Linked DNA regions of Oryzias latipes. The protein of the gene in region 2 purifies or fractionates together with the protein of the main gene of each other region. This does not show direct contact. Links are inferred from orthologs where the notes say so. Each region holds a gene or a part of one and is shown on either strand. Other genes may lie near its edges.

What was found. Proteins that work in one complex are often made in the same cells at the same time.
Region 1: the proteins of fam98a (region 2) and atxn2 purify together in Homo sapiens (co-immunoprecipitation; 3 studies listed by BioGRID and IntAct, counting the BioPlex papers as one, with this or other methods). This does not show direct contact. The link is inferred for Oryzias latipes from reciprocal best matches to the Homo sapiens genes FAM98A and ATXN2.
Region 3: the proteins of fam98a (region 2) and nufip2 purify together in Homo sapiens (co-immunoprecipitation; 3 studies listed by BioGRID and IntAct, with this or other methods). This does not show direct contact. The link is inferred for Oryzias latipes from reciprocal best matches to the Homo sapiens genes FAM98A and NUFIP2.

Annotation. Positions count from the first base shown.
Region 1 is NC_019867.2:7,498,252-7,502,243, reverse strand, and holds the start of atxn2 (ataxin-2), read left to right. Parts: upstream 1-1,140; 5' UTR 1,141-1,509; coding exon 1,510-1,622; intron 1,623-2,182; coding exon 2,183-2,213; intron 2,214-2,575; coding exon 2,576-2,635; intron 2,636-2,997; coding exon 2,998-3,069; intron 3,070-3,992. UniProt on the Homo sapiens protein: Involved in EGFR trafficking, acting as negative regulator of endocytic EGFR internalization at the plasma membrane.
Region 2 is NC_019873.2:1,647,179-1,650,522, forward strand, and holds the end of fam98a (protein FAM98A), read right to left. Parts: intron 3,306-3,344; coding exon 3,124-3,305; intron 2,865-3,123; coding exon 2,784-2,864; intron 2,714-2,783; coding exon 2,597-2,713; intron 1,807-2,596; coding exon 1,639-1,806; intron 1,480-1,638; coding exon 901-1,479; 3' UTR 542-900; downstream 1-541. UniProt on the Homo sapiens protein: Positively stimulates PRMT1-induced protein arginine methylation. Involved in skeletal homeostasis. Positively regulates lysosome peripheral distribution and ruffled border formation in osteoclasts.
Region 3 is NC_019872.2:16,918,353-16,922,492, forward strand, and holds the start of nufip2 (nuclear fragile X mental retardation-interacting protein 2), read left to right. Parts: upstream 1-1,288; 5' UTR 1,289-1,604; coding exon 1,605-1,752; intron 1,753-4,140. UniProt on the Homo sapiens protein: Binds RNA.

The DNA of each region.
Region 1 (3,992 bases), on a different chromosome or scaffold from region 2:
TAAGTTGTGTCTTTCAGTAAATTGTTGAATAAAGGTCACATACTACTGCATGGTATAGCGTGGGAACCAACTACTGACTAACCTTAACTGTTGTTCAATGCAGGTTTATAAGGATTTGAATCGGGTGACCATGTTTAAGAAATGGGAATCAAATCAAACTTTATTTAAAAAAGAAATTTAAACGCAAAAACAACACAAAGTGCCAGAAAGCTGACATCTGGCTCATAAACACAAACCCTGACCTCTAGTTTCTCTTTAAACCAGAATTGATATTAAAAAAGAAAAACCTGGGATTAAACAAGAAAATATTGCTTAATGCTTAGGTCTTGAAGTCATAGCAAGGGTTCAGTTGTCACAACCCAGTGCATGCTCGGATCCGCATCCCATTCTCTGAGCTGCAGTGCAGGGCCTCTAACCACAGCAACCATCCCTGATGTGGAATAATCTCACAGGGAAAGCATTGGGATGAAAGATAAAATAAATCAATAAAAAAATCAACTAAAACCAATAATTAATAAAAAATAGGAAACAACCAGAGTAAAAATATATTAAAAGTATACCGTAACAGAAAGACACACAATTGGCAAGATTTAAAAAAATAATATATATATATATAAAAAAGCGGATTGTTGGTAAGTAAAATGTATTTTTTTCTTATAGTATACAATTAAATAAAAATGTGCTAAAATAAGAAATCAGGCGTGAAAAAATAAATAAATGAATGGATCATGAGTTAGAAAATGTAGGGTTTTCTTTCCCACCCACAAAAATATGAATAAAAGTCGGACGTTTGCAGAAAATAGTAATTAACATTATAACCCATCCATCACTTATTGTGTCCAAGGTGTTGTTTGATTCCATACAGACAGAAACCAGCTCACGTGGATCCCATGAAACATCCATGTAAAACTAATGGACTTCCTGAAAATAGTGCCAATGTGCAGTTGTAAATTGAAAAAAAATAAATAAATAAAAAATAAACAGACAATTGTATGTTTATAATTTTCTTTTTTTTTTGTTGATAAATATTACATTTATATGTTTAGTTAAATGAATGCAGTCATGTACGTTTTTATAAATGATTGAAACTAATGTGATACGCCGTTACGCCTTTCCTATATCCCTCCGCCGGTTTTTGTCTCTCTCAGACTGTTTTGGTCTTTTCACTGTTAGCAACGGAAAGAGCCCAAGCTAGCTGTGAACGTATTTAGAAAAAAAAAAATTAAATCTTTTTTTAGGGTTTCATAAAAAATTGACAAGTGGCGTAACGTTTTTTGGGGGGATTTCAGGAGCGCGTCGTCTTTTTAAAACTTGTTTTTTTTTCCTGTTTTAAAAATATTTGTACAGATTGCTAATTTGAGGGAGCAACTGTGCACCGGAGTTAGTTAGCAAGCGTCTTAGCATAACATTCACGTTGACATTAGCCTGCTAGCACGTTGGCAAGCTGTCACCGAGGAAATTCACGTCTGAAAGTTGTCATTTTAAGACTTTGTTTTTTATGGGATCATTATGTCATTGAAGACCGGTGGAAATCGCAGCAAGCCCGGCGGTGGTAACACCGCTGGTGGTGGGGCCGCCTCCGGTGCCGGGGGAAGCGGCGGTGGAAGACAGAATCTGGGCAGGTCAGTAATAATATCAAAATTCATTGTAAAAATAAATTTTACTAAAGGTATCTGTGACCTCTATTCAGTAAATACATATAATCACTTTAGACGGTTTTAGTTTGAAGAGATGACATACATGCTAAATGGTAAAATTTGTGCGTGTCAGAGAATGAAATGCGGGCCTTGCGTCATGCTCTGGTCATCAGGTAAAACGTTTTGCAGCTCGGCTAGCGAGGCCTAACCGCTAATGTTCAGCAATGTTTCGACTTTTTCTAGTTATACACGGATTTAAAAAAAACAAACCATATGAATGTGCATATAAAATGTGCATCTAAACGTCCCTTTCACCTCGCATGCTCTATGTAACCCCGGCGGTTTAGAATGGCCCACCCAGAAATGTTTTTTTTTTTTTTTTGGATTGAAATGGGACATTTTATTGTGTCAACGATCATGGCATTTTCTTTCACGTACAGAGCTGTTTTGTAGAGTTTACCCAGTCAGAACATGCAATCTTTATTGTAGAATGCATCAATTGTAAGAAAGTTTGTCAGCAATATAGAAATATTTTTTTTCCTCAGGGGAAGACACGGTGGTAAAGGTCCTGCAGCTGTAAGTTACCAATAATTCTTTAAAAAAATCATATTAATATGTATGTATGCATGCTGGTTAACATGCATCTGTTACCTGCAAGTGTTTTGAATGTATTGGTGAAACACAAGTTTGTGTTTAAAAGTAGCCATGAGTCAGAAAAGCTCAGGTTAATAAAAGCATATTTTGTGCTTTATTCCAAAGTGAACTGATGTTTTGTGGATGTCATTCGGATGTGACCTACTGTTTATTTATCAGCAAATTGTGAGCAGCAGATTATGTGCATTTTCTTTCTTTCTTTCTTTCTTTCTTTCTTTCTTTCTTTCTTTCTTTCTTTCTTTCTTTCTTTCTTTCTTTCTTTCTTTCTTTCTTTCTTTTTTTAGGTCATTTTCAGTGGTGTTTATGCAAATATGAGGATGGTCCACGTTTTGACTTCAGTGGTGGTAAGTTGACCTTAATATCCTGAGTTAATTGCAATAACTGTCTTTCTATTTTGTTTCTAATATTTCCTACTAATAAAGCACAAGTCGAACATATTGTAAAGAAAATAACCACAAATATATTACTGTAGCTCACAGAGTAATAGTAGTGTTGGAGTTTTTTGTTTGGACTCATGCTGTGTTTTTAAACCTTAGGAATGTTTGTAAGGAAACAGTTGATTATATAAACAAAGATAAGATTGATCCTTTTTTTTTTGTTTATTCTGTGACAAATCCATTTGAAGTTCCTTTTTTGTTTTGTTTAAAATAATGAAATTAATTGAATAAACAGTTGCTGCATACATTAACAAAATTGCCTTTTGCAGGGGACAAAGTGTGAGCTGGAGGTGAAAAACGGTTCTGTGTACGAAGGCGTATTTAAGACGTACGGTCCAGAGGTAAGTAAAGAGCAGGAAACATGATAAAGTTCCATTGTAACTATTTTCTGCACATACCTAATAACAGATTAAGATACCAGAGTAGAGTGGGGGGGGGGGGGGGCATTATTCCTTCCATAAATTCTGTGTGTATTACTCGTGAACTTTTGAAGGTCAATCTGTTTAAAAATGTCATGTTCAGATGAACAATTTTACCGCAGCAATGAAAAACTGCAGCTCATTTAGTAAAGCATGACGCTAAACAGAAAAGACTTTTCCGTACAATTATCAAAGACTTTTCCTTATTTTATGTTTCTTAAGTATGTTACTGCCTCTCTAAGGCCGCATGTGTGTTATGTCAATAAAAATAGCAGCTTTAAAAAAGAATCTGAATATTCTTTGCTTTTAGAAGCTAATGCCACTTTTCGCACGGGGTCAAAAGAATAAAGCTCGACTTTTTTCTGTTTTTTACTGCACTGGACATTTACATTTGCAGAAATGTTTAAATGTTGATGTTTTTGTTAGCTCTTTTTAGATGGTGAGTCAACCCTGCAAAGAATGGTTAGAGGGTAGGGGGGTACTTTGAGACTGCAACGATATGTTCAGTCATTTATATTATGTAACTGTTAGGCCAGGAAAGTTTATTTGTTTAGCACATTTCATGTGCAAAGACAACTCAAAGCGCTTAACATAAAACATTTAAAGAAGCAATCAAATACATATTTAGAAAGATCATTAAAATAAGATTTGAAGAAAGTTAAAAAATAACTTCATTTAACTGAAGCATGGATAAACAGTGTGGATGTCAACTTTTGAATACAAACTAATCAAATGCAGCAGAGATCTGGTGGGTCTTTATCTGGATCTAAATAAACTAAGTGTTTCAGCTGATCTAAGGCTTTCTGGAAATCTCTTCCAGATATGTGGAGCATAGAAGCTGAGTG
Region 2 (3,344 bases):
TTTGGGATCACAGGGTTGCTGGAGCCTATCCCAGCTGGATGAGAGGGGTACATACACTCTGAACAGGTCACCAGTTTATTTTAGGACCACACAATCACACCTAGGGACATTTTAGCGTCACCAATCAACCTGTGCAGCATGTTTCTGGACTGTGGGAGGAAGCCAGAGTGCCAGGAGAGAACCCACTCATGAACGAGAACATGCAAACTTCGCCAAGAAAGAACCCAGCTGGGACTCCAACCAGCTAAAAAAATAGTAATGGATTTGATTTATCTGTGGTTTTCCAGACGCTTAAAGTTCTTACAGTGTGTCACATCCAATATTCATTCATACTTGGTGATGGTAACTACTGATGTACCTCAGCTGCCCTGGGGCAGACTGACAGAGGCGTGGCTGCCACTTCCCTCCTACAGCCCCCCCATCACCGGGACATTCACACACATTCACACACGGGTGGAGCCACACTGGAGGTGAGGTGAGGTGAGGTGAGGTGTCTTGCCCAAAGTGTTTATTCATTCAAGTAAAGGAAATCAAACTCCACTCAGACAGCAACACTTTTTAATTGTTTGCTTGTCCGTGCGACCCCCCCCCCCGTGCACCACATTCCCAGGCGCTTCCATCTTTAACAGAAAATAATCCAGACTCATCTGAGGAGGGCAAACAGCAGCCCCCTCCAACCCCCCCGTCTCCAAACAAAAAGCGTAGACCTCAAACTTTGTGGGGGTGCAGAGGTCACTCTCAGAACCGCTCCTGCTTTTGGGTCCAACAATGAACAAGAACCCTCCCAGAAGGAGGTGCTTTAGCAGGCAGAGAATTTACACCCCCCACCCCCACCCCCTTCACCTATCCTTCACAGCGTCATCAGTCAAGGTGAGAGGATGGGGGCTCTCTTTGTCCCCCTCAGCTGTTGTAGTGTTTGCCCTGATTGAAACCGGCCTGGTTAAACTGTTGCCCCCCATGCTGAAAAAACTGTTCAAATTGACCCCCTTGACTGAAACCGGAGCCTCCTCTGCCCCCCCAACCACCACTTTGGCCTCCTCTGCCTCCTCTTCCACGTCCCCCTCGCCCTCCACGGCCCCCACCACGTTCCTGTTGCCAGCTTCCATCCTGGTGATAGTTGTCATGGTAACTGCCTCCTCTTCCGTGGTAACCAGGATCCTGGAAGGCCCCCTGTCCACCCCCCCCAGCTCCGTAGCTTCCTCTTCCCCCCGCATCATGATACCCGCCCCTTCCCCCTCCACTTCCCTCCCCCCAGCTGCCCTGCACTCTGCCCCCTCTACCTCCTCCTCCTCTGCCAACCCTGTCTTCATGGCCCCCTCCTGCTCTTTCATAGCCCCCTCTGCTGCCTCCGTGCCCACTCCCATAGTGTCCTCCGCCCTGGGGTGCATCTTGACGCTTCTGCCAGGAGGGCATCTCTGGGGGCGGGGGCTCAATCTCACAGGGTCTGCCCCCCCTGTCTGGCACTCGTCCCATCAGAACCTGGGGAGGGGAGGGGAGGGGTGGAGATGAAAGACAGTGACAAATGCTGTCAAGACTCCAGAAGAAGCTGTGGATCCAGCTGAGAGAATAAAACATTTAGGTGGGAGCTCTAGAGAAAGGTTAACCCCCCCCCGTTTTACAGGAGGAGTACTACCCCACCTTGTTGATCGCACAGGCCGTCTTCTCCCGGATCTTCCCACTGCTCGTTCTCAGGATCTTGGAGAAGTCCTGCCGCGCAGCCAGAAGATGAGCAACGGAGACGCTGCTCCTGACGGCGAGTACCGAGCGCAGCGGCTGGTACACCTGCCCCAGCTTCTCCGCCCGCACCTGCAGACACCACAGACAGCATGCAGGAGTTCTCTCCCCTTCAGGTTCAGAAAGCCTACCAGCAAATGCTTGACTATCAAGCTGCGTTCACACCAGCATCGGCAACGCGCATTCAAGCCGCCACTTCCCGTCAAAGTCCATGTAAACGCACGTGTCAGCGTGTTTCAGGCCTCCACATTCCAAACTCTCACGTTCACATGCAGTGAAGCAAGTTTTTAAAATCAGTTTTTGGGCTCTACGTACAAAACGCGTGGCCATTCAACACGTGTTGTTCCCAGCCAGAATCTTATGTCACTATGTCTTTCATCTCTTGGAATAGAGCTGTGAAAAGACTCAGGAGGTTTGCACCCCTCTATTTCACACCGCGCCTCTTCCAGCTGTGAGCAGATGCGGTGGTGTTGGGTGGTGACGGACCAGTGTGAAGCCCGCGTGCTAAACGTGGTCATAGAACACGTATGGAAGGAGGCCCGGCGCTCTGACAGGTCTGCCTCTAGGAACCCAGAGTGGGTGAATGAAAACCAAGACAAGAGGATTTTAGAAAACTTACTATTATGATTGTATTGACAAATATTGACAGGACAAAAACAAAGAACATAAACAAGTCTGTCCGTGTCAAGGAGCGTGGGGCTTGGATGTGTCATTTTTTTATCCTTGCACATTGTTTTTTATTCTGTTATTTGTCTGTAAAGTCTGCCCACTTCAGACAGAACTGATCAGAACGTCACATTGTTCCATAATGACAGTAAAGGCTTTCTGTTCTATTCTATTGGGGCTTTGTGTGGGCCGGTACCTTTGCTTTGTCGGACCAGCCGAAGGACTGCACCGTCACGTCCAGACGCTTCAGCAGCGTCTTCCTCCGCACCTCGTACTCGTTCACCAGCGTCTGGTTTATGGCCTCAATCTTTTCCTGAAAGAGCACAGAGCGGTTCACACGGGGAGGGAGCACGGCCCCCACGCTGAGGCGTCGCCTTGTTTACCAAGTGCACAGGTCCAAGCGGTCTCTTCAGCAGCGGCTCCCCCACGTGACCGGCCGGCACCCGACTCAGGGCTTCCTTCAGCTGGAAGAACAATGAAATGTCATTGTGGGTCACTGATGGTCAAATGTTCACACACAAAAAAAATCGCAGGAGGACAAGGTGCCGCGGGAGGACAAGGTGCCGCGGGAGGACAAGGTGCCGGAAGTCAGGCAGGGGAGGACATTTCTGTCAAACAGGTCCAGTTTGTCCTGCAGGATCACTTCTCCAGGCCATGACTGAGGACCATGTTGTGTTTGGATCAAGTCAACTTGAACAGAAATCATGCAACAGCTGGACTGACCTTCTTCTCAATGCCGGTGAAAAACTGGAACATGGTGATGTTGGCTGGAGGTTTGGACATGCTCAGGGCCACGCAGATCCCCTTCAGCTCCTGGAAGACGGGGCTGCCAGCCTCCTGGGCCTTCTTCTGAGGCTTGTTCACCAGGATCATCCTGGAGGCCTCCAGCTCTGACACCAGGAAAGCTGCAGCACAGAGAAGAAGGGCTTCAGGAAGCTGAGGGA
Region 3 (4,140 bases), on a different chromosome or scaffold from region 2:
ATGAAATTGCTCACTCGGTTGTGCCGTGGCACATGATTCTTTGTTGAAATACTGCACTTAGCTTGACTTTTTCTGTCAAGTTGTCAGAAAGGGTGCTCATATTGTGTCTAAAAGAAAACCAAATACTTTTGTCAGAAATAAGACATTAACTATATGGTCAACTCTTTCTTGATGAAATGATATACAAATGTAAATTAGAGTGAATAACTTTTATTAAACAAATATTAATTTTCTTATCCCATTATTGCACAGGTCTTTGCTTTTCCTCCATAAAAAATCATCTGAGGGATCATTTGATTTAAAAAAAGAAAAAAAGTGGCAAAAGTTGCCATAAACCTGCCAACATATTTATTTTAAAAATAGTGTCCAGGATATGTTTAACCAAGTGCCTGGAGAGTACTGTTCTCTGGAAACCTTCCATTTTTAAAAATAAATCTTGCTGTTAAATGAAGCAGTGATATGAATATTTCATATAAAAGTAGCTGTCAAGTGGAAGGGGGCCAGGACTGCATACATCAGCAGTAAAAGTGTGTTGGAATCAAGAGAGTGCTTTAACTGAACAGAAGGGAAGAAGTGAATAAAGGTTGCTTGATTCTTAACTTTCATCATTTGTGAATATTAGCTATTTAAAACATATTTTGTATGATTAATTGTCTTAATGGTGGCTTATAAATTATGTAATGTTAAAGCTGTATTTTTTGTAATGTATTTTAATCTCAAACTTAAAAAATAGACAAAGCTTTGATCTGAAATATTTATTTATAGCCAATTTCATAATAGAGATTATAATCTGAGGACTTCCACTCGTGGCCACTAGATGGCATTGTTTCAACGATTATCTAAACGCGTGAGCTGTTCAAAGATTCCAGACTTCTCCCACTTTTTGAAAAGTGAGGCGCTTCAATTAACTCTAAAACTTAACAAATTTACGAGTATTTTTTATTACACTTTTTCTTTCATTTTTTAAAGCATAAATGAAGAAACTATCCTATTATTGTTTCTAGATATTTATAACTGCAATCCCGTGTTTTAAATCTTATGATTACAATGAAAAGGAGAATTGAGTTTAATTGAGGCGAAACCCCTTTGAACTAAGTTCTTGATTTAACAACTGTCAATTCTACAAATTTGAAACAGTCCAATATTTTATGTATCTGATCGTATGTATGTATATTAAACAGCAGTTAGAAGACTTAAAACAAACAAAAAGCATTTATTTAAAGGCTGACCCTCCATCAAAGGTTGTCCACTGGCTGGAGACGTGGCAGCGCCTCGGGTCATATGATTTTTGGCTCATGCACGAACCCCACCCCGTTATTTCCTACCCTGACAGGGGGGGTTATTGTTCTCCTAACTTCTAATTCTAGAGTAAAATGCAGATTTGATCGACAAAGGCGCTTGAATATGATCTGCAATGGCCAACAGAGGGTCTGGACGTGGATTTAAGTGGCGGTGACCACCCAAAACAGAGCCATTTTTAGACATTTGCTGCTGACGTTTACACGGGCTTCAAATAGCTTCCGTTTCACTCTGGTAGTGATTGGACTGTTCGGCACTAAGAGGGAGCTAACACCGCCTCAACCAGTCCGACATTCTTCACTTCAATGGAGGAACAGCCCAAAGATCGGGCACAAGACAGGCAAAACCATCACCACGGAGAGGACAGAAACTATACTCAACACACACTTCGTCTGAAACATGATCAGAGCCACATCCAGTGCCAGCATCAGGAAACGCAGGCGAAGAAAACAGGTTAGGCCGTCCCGAAAAGTCAGCTTGTTGCTAGCTTCAGTTGGCTAATGTCAACGAGCGCACGAGCCCTCGCTAAGTTCCCACAATTGAAGCTTTATCCTGCTGATTGTTGGTTGCACGGTTGAATATTTTCAGAACCGCCGTGGCAGTTCGGTGGCTCGCTCGAGGAGAGCCACGCTAGGCCTCTGTCACACGAGAAACTCACGCTTTTTTAAAGCTGACGTTGCGTGACAGTTGGTTTGACATATCAGGGATTGACCTTGTGCGCCGGCTTTGCTTTCCGATTTTATTTTAGCTAACGCCTCTAATAAAAGCTTTATTTGTGCCACCCTGTGTCTGTAGAGACTAACTTAGTCTTCCTCCAAACTTCAACCTCCTGTAGTGTATCGGTTTCGAGTCCAGTTAGGAAACCGAGCCGGCTCCGCTGGAATGTTCTGTGCTCCCATTTCCTGTCGGCCATGTTAGACGTGGACTGTAAGCTAATGCTGCTTTTGCTCTCCGAGTAGCTACATTGCCCATCTCTATTTGTTCATGCTTTCTCTAATTGCCGCCGGGGACTGAAAATAACGGAACCAGGGAGTCGTCTGAAAGTGCGCTAGTGTTGAGCGAGCTACTGGTTGGTTGACATTCCGCTAGCATTAGCTGTCTGACAGGCCTATCGCGTGTTGTGAAGTCACGCAAGATGCTGCCTGACTGACTGTGTTTGCAGCCGTGGAGCGTGGAAGAATTGGCTCAGAAAACTGACTGCTGTAAAACACTGTTTACTAAAAAGCAAAAGTGATTTATTCTGTGTGGGGAATCTCGCGTGTTTTGTCCACAAACATTCGGCTGGAGAAATCCCGTGAAGGGAAAAGTCCCACGTTTGCACCGCGGTTCCCATGCTTAAGTAATTACAGCACAATAAGCATAGGTCATCACACACGTCCAATGTGGGACAATGACATCAGCGTCAACTGCAGCATATCAAGGATGTGACTAATTAAAACAAGATCAGTTTTATTCACAACGAGCTGTATATACGAGATGTTGGTACTGAATGATCAACTGAAATTTCAAAAACCTGTTATTGAACATGGAAGTGAACTGGATGAGATTATACTCATGAATCTGGGTGTAATGATTCGATTCATATCCTAATTTCTGGTTGCCAGTACAATTCATAGTCTGTATTGGTTCATTTGATCTGAAACGATTTACTGACCTAAAATGGATCCAGGACATCTTTAGCCAAAAGTTCCTCCAGTGTGACTCAGAAATACCTGGTACTGAACAGTGCAGGTGAAGTTTTCCAGATTCCTTGTATTTCTTGTAAGATAATCTAGTGTAAATTAAATGTGTGTACAACCAAACAAGTAAACAAGAATTAATGTAAAATCCATTCACCTCTTAATTTCCTAAAGTTCAGTCCACTGTTGTTTCTCCACATCAAAATAATCCAAAGGGAACATTTTTAGAACATTCTAGCACACTGTATGGTCGCATGTCTTTGCTAAATTCAAAGTGTTTCCACATATTGGACTGGAATAATAGACTGATCATTTTTTGCTTACATCACGTGTGTTTTGTCTGCTGTGATGCAAATGCTAAATTCCGATAATGATTATAATTAATTTGTCTCATTTTGAAACGATTTTATACTGTTGTAGGTCGATTGGTTGACAACCTGTCTCAGACAGATCAATCTGGTTGGATCGTAGAAGTAGAAATCAATTAATCAGTTATGTTGATTAATTGTTACACCTCAACTTACAAGTATAGGTAATTTGATACAAAAAATTATATTGATTTCTCCAAAAAGTACTGATTTATGTTTAATTCCAATTAACTTAGAACTCAAGTGAGTAAAGTTGATGAGACCTAAAAATAACATGTTTTCTAATATGTATTGATATTGCGTAACAATATAGCTGCAGAGTCATATTTGTAATTCGTTTGTGCCATTCATACATGTTTGCAGGTCATCTGAAAAAGCATTTTCTGCTGCTTTAACCATGAATATCCTTTACCAACCAAACGTATAAATAAAGGCAACATCAACCTAAAAATAGACTTGTTTAGTTTTATGTCAAAATTAACATGTCATTATTACGGGCTGCCTTGGTACAGTGGAAGGGGGTCGACCTCTGATCAAAAGATTGCAGGAAGGTGTCCTTGGGTAAGACACTGAACCCCACCTTACCTCTGGTGGAAGGTTGGCGCCAGTGTGTGTGCATGGGTGAATGGGACTGTGACTGTAAAGCGCTTTGGGCCTTCTAAAAAGCTTGTAAAGCACTAAATAAGTATACGGCATTTACCATTATTTAGTAGAAATGTTATTTAACGTGAACGGCCACTAATGTAAATTAAATAACTACACAAAGTAAGAGGAAATACCATGTTTTCTTTCTT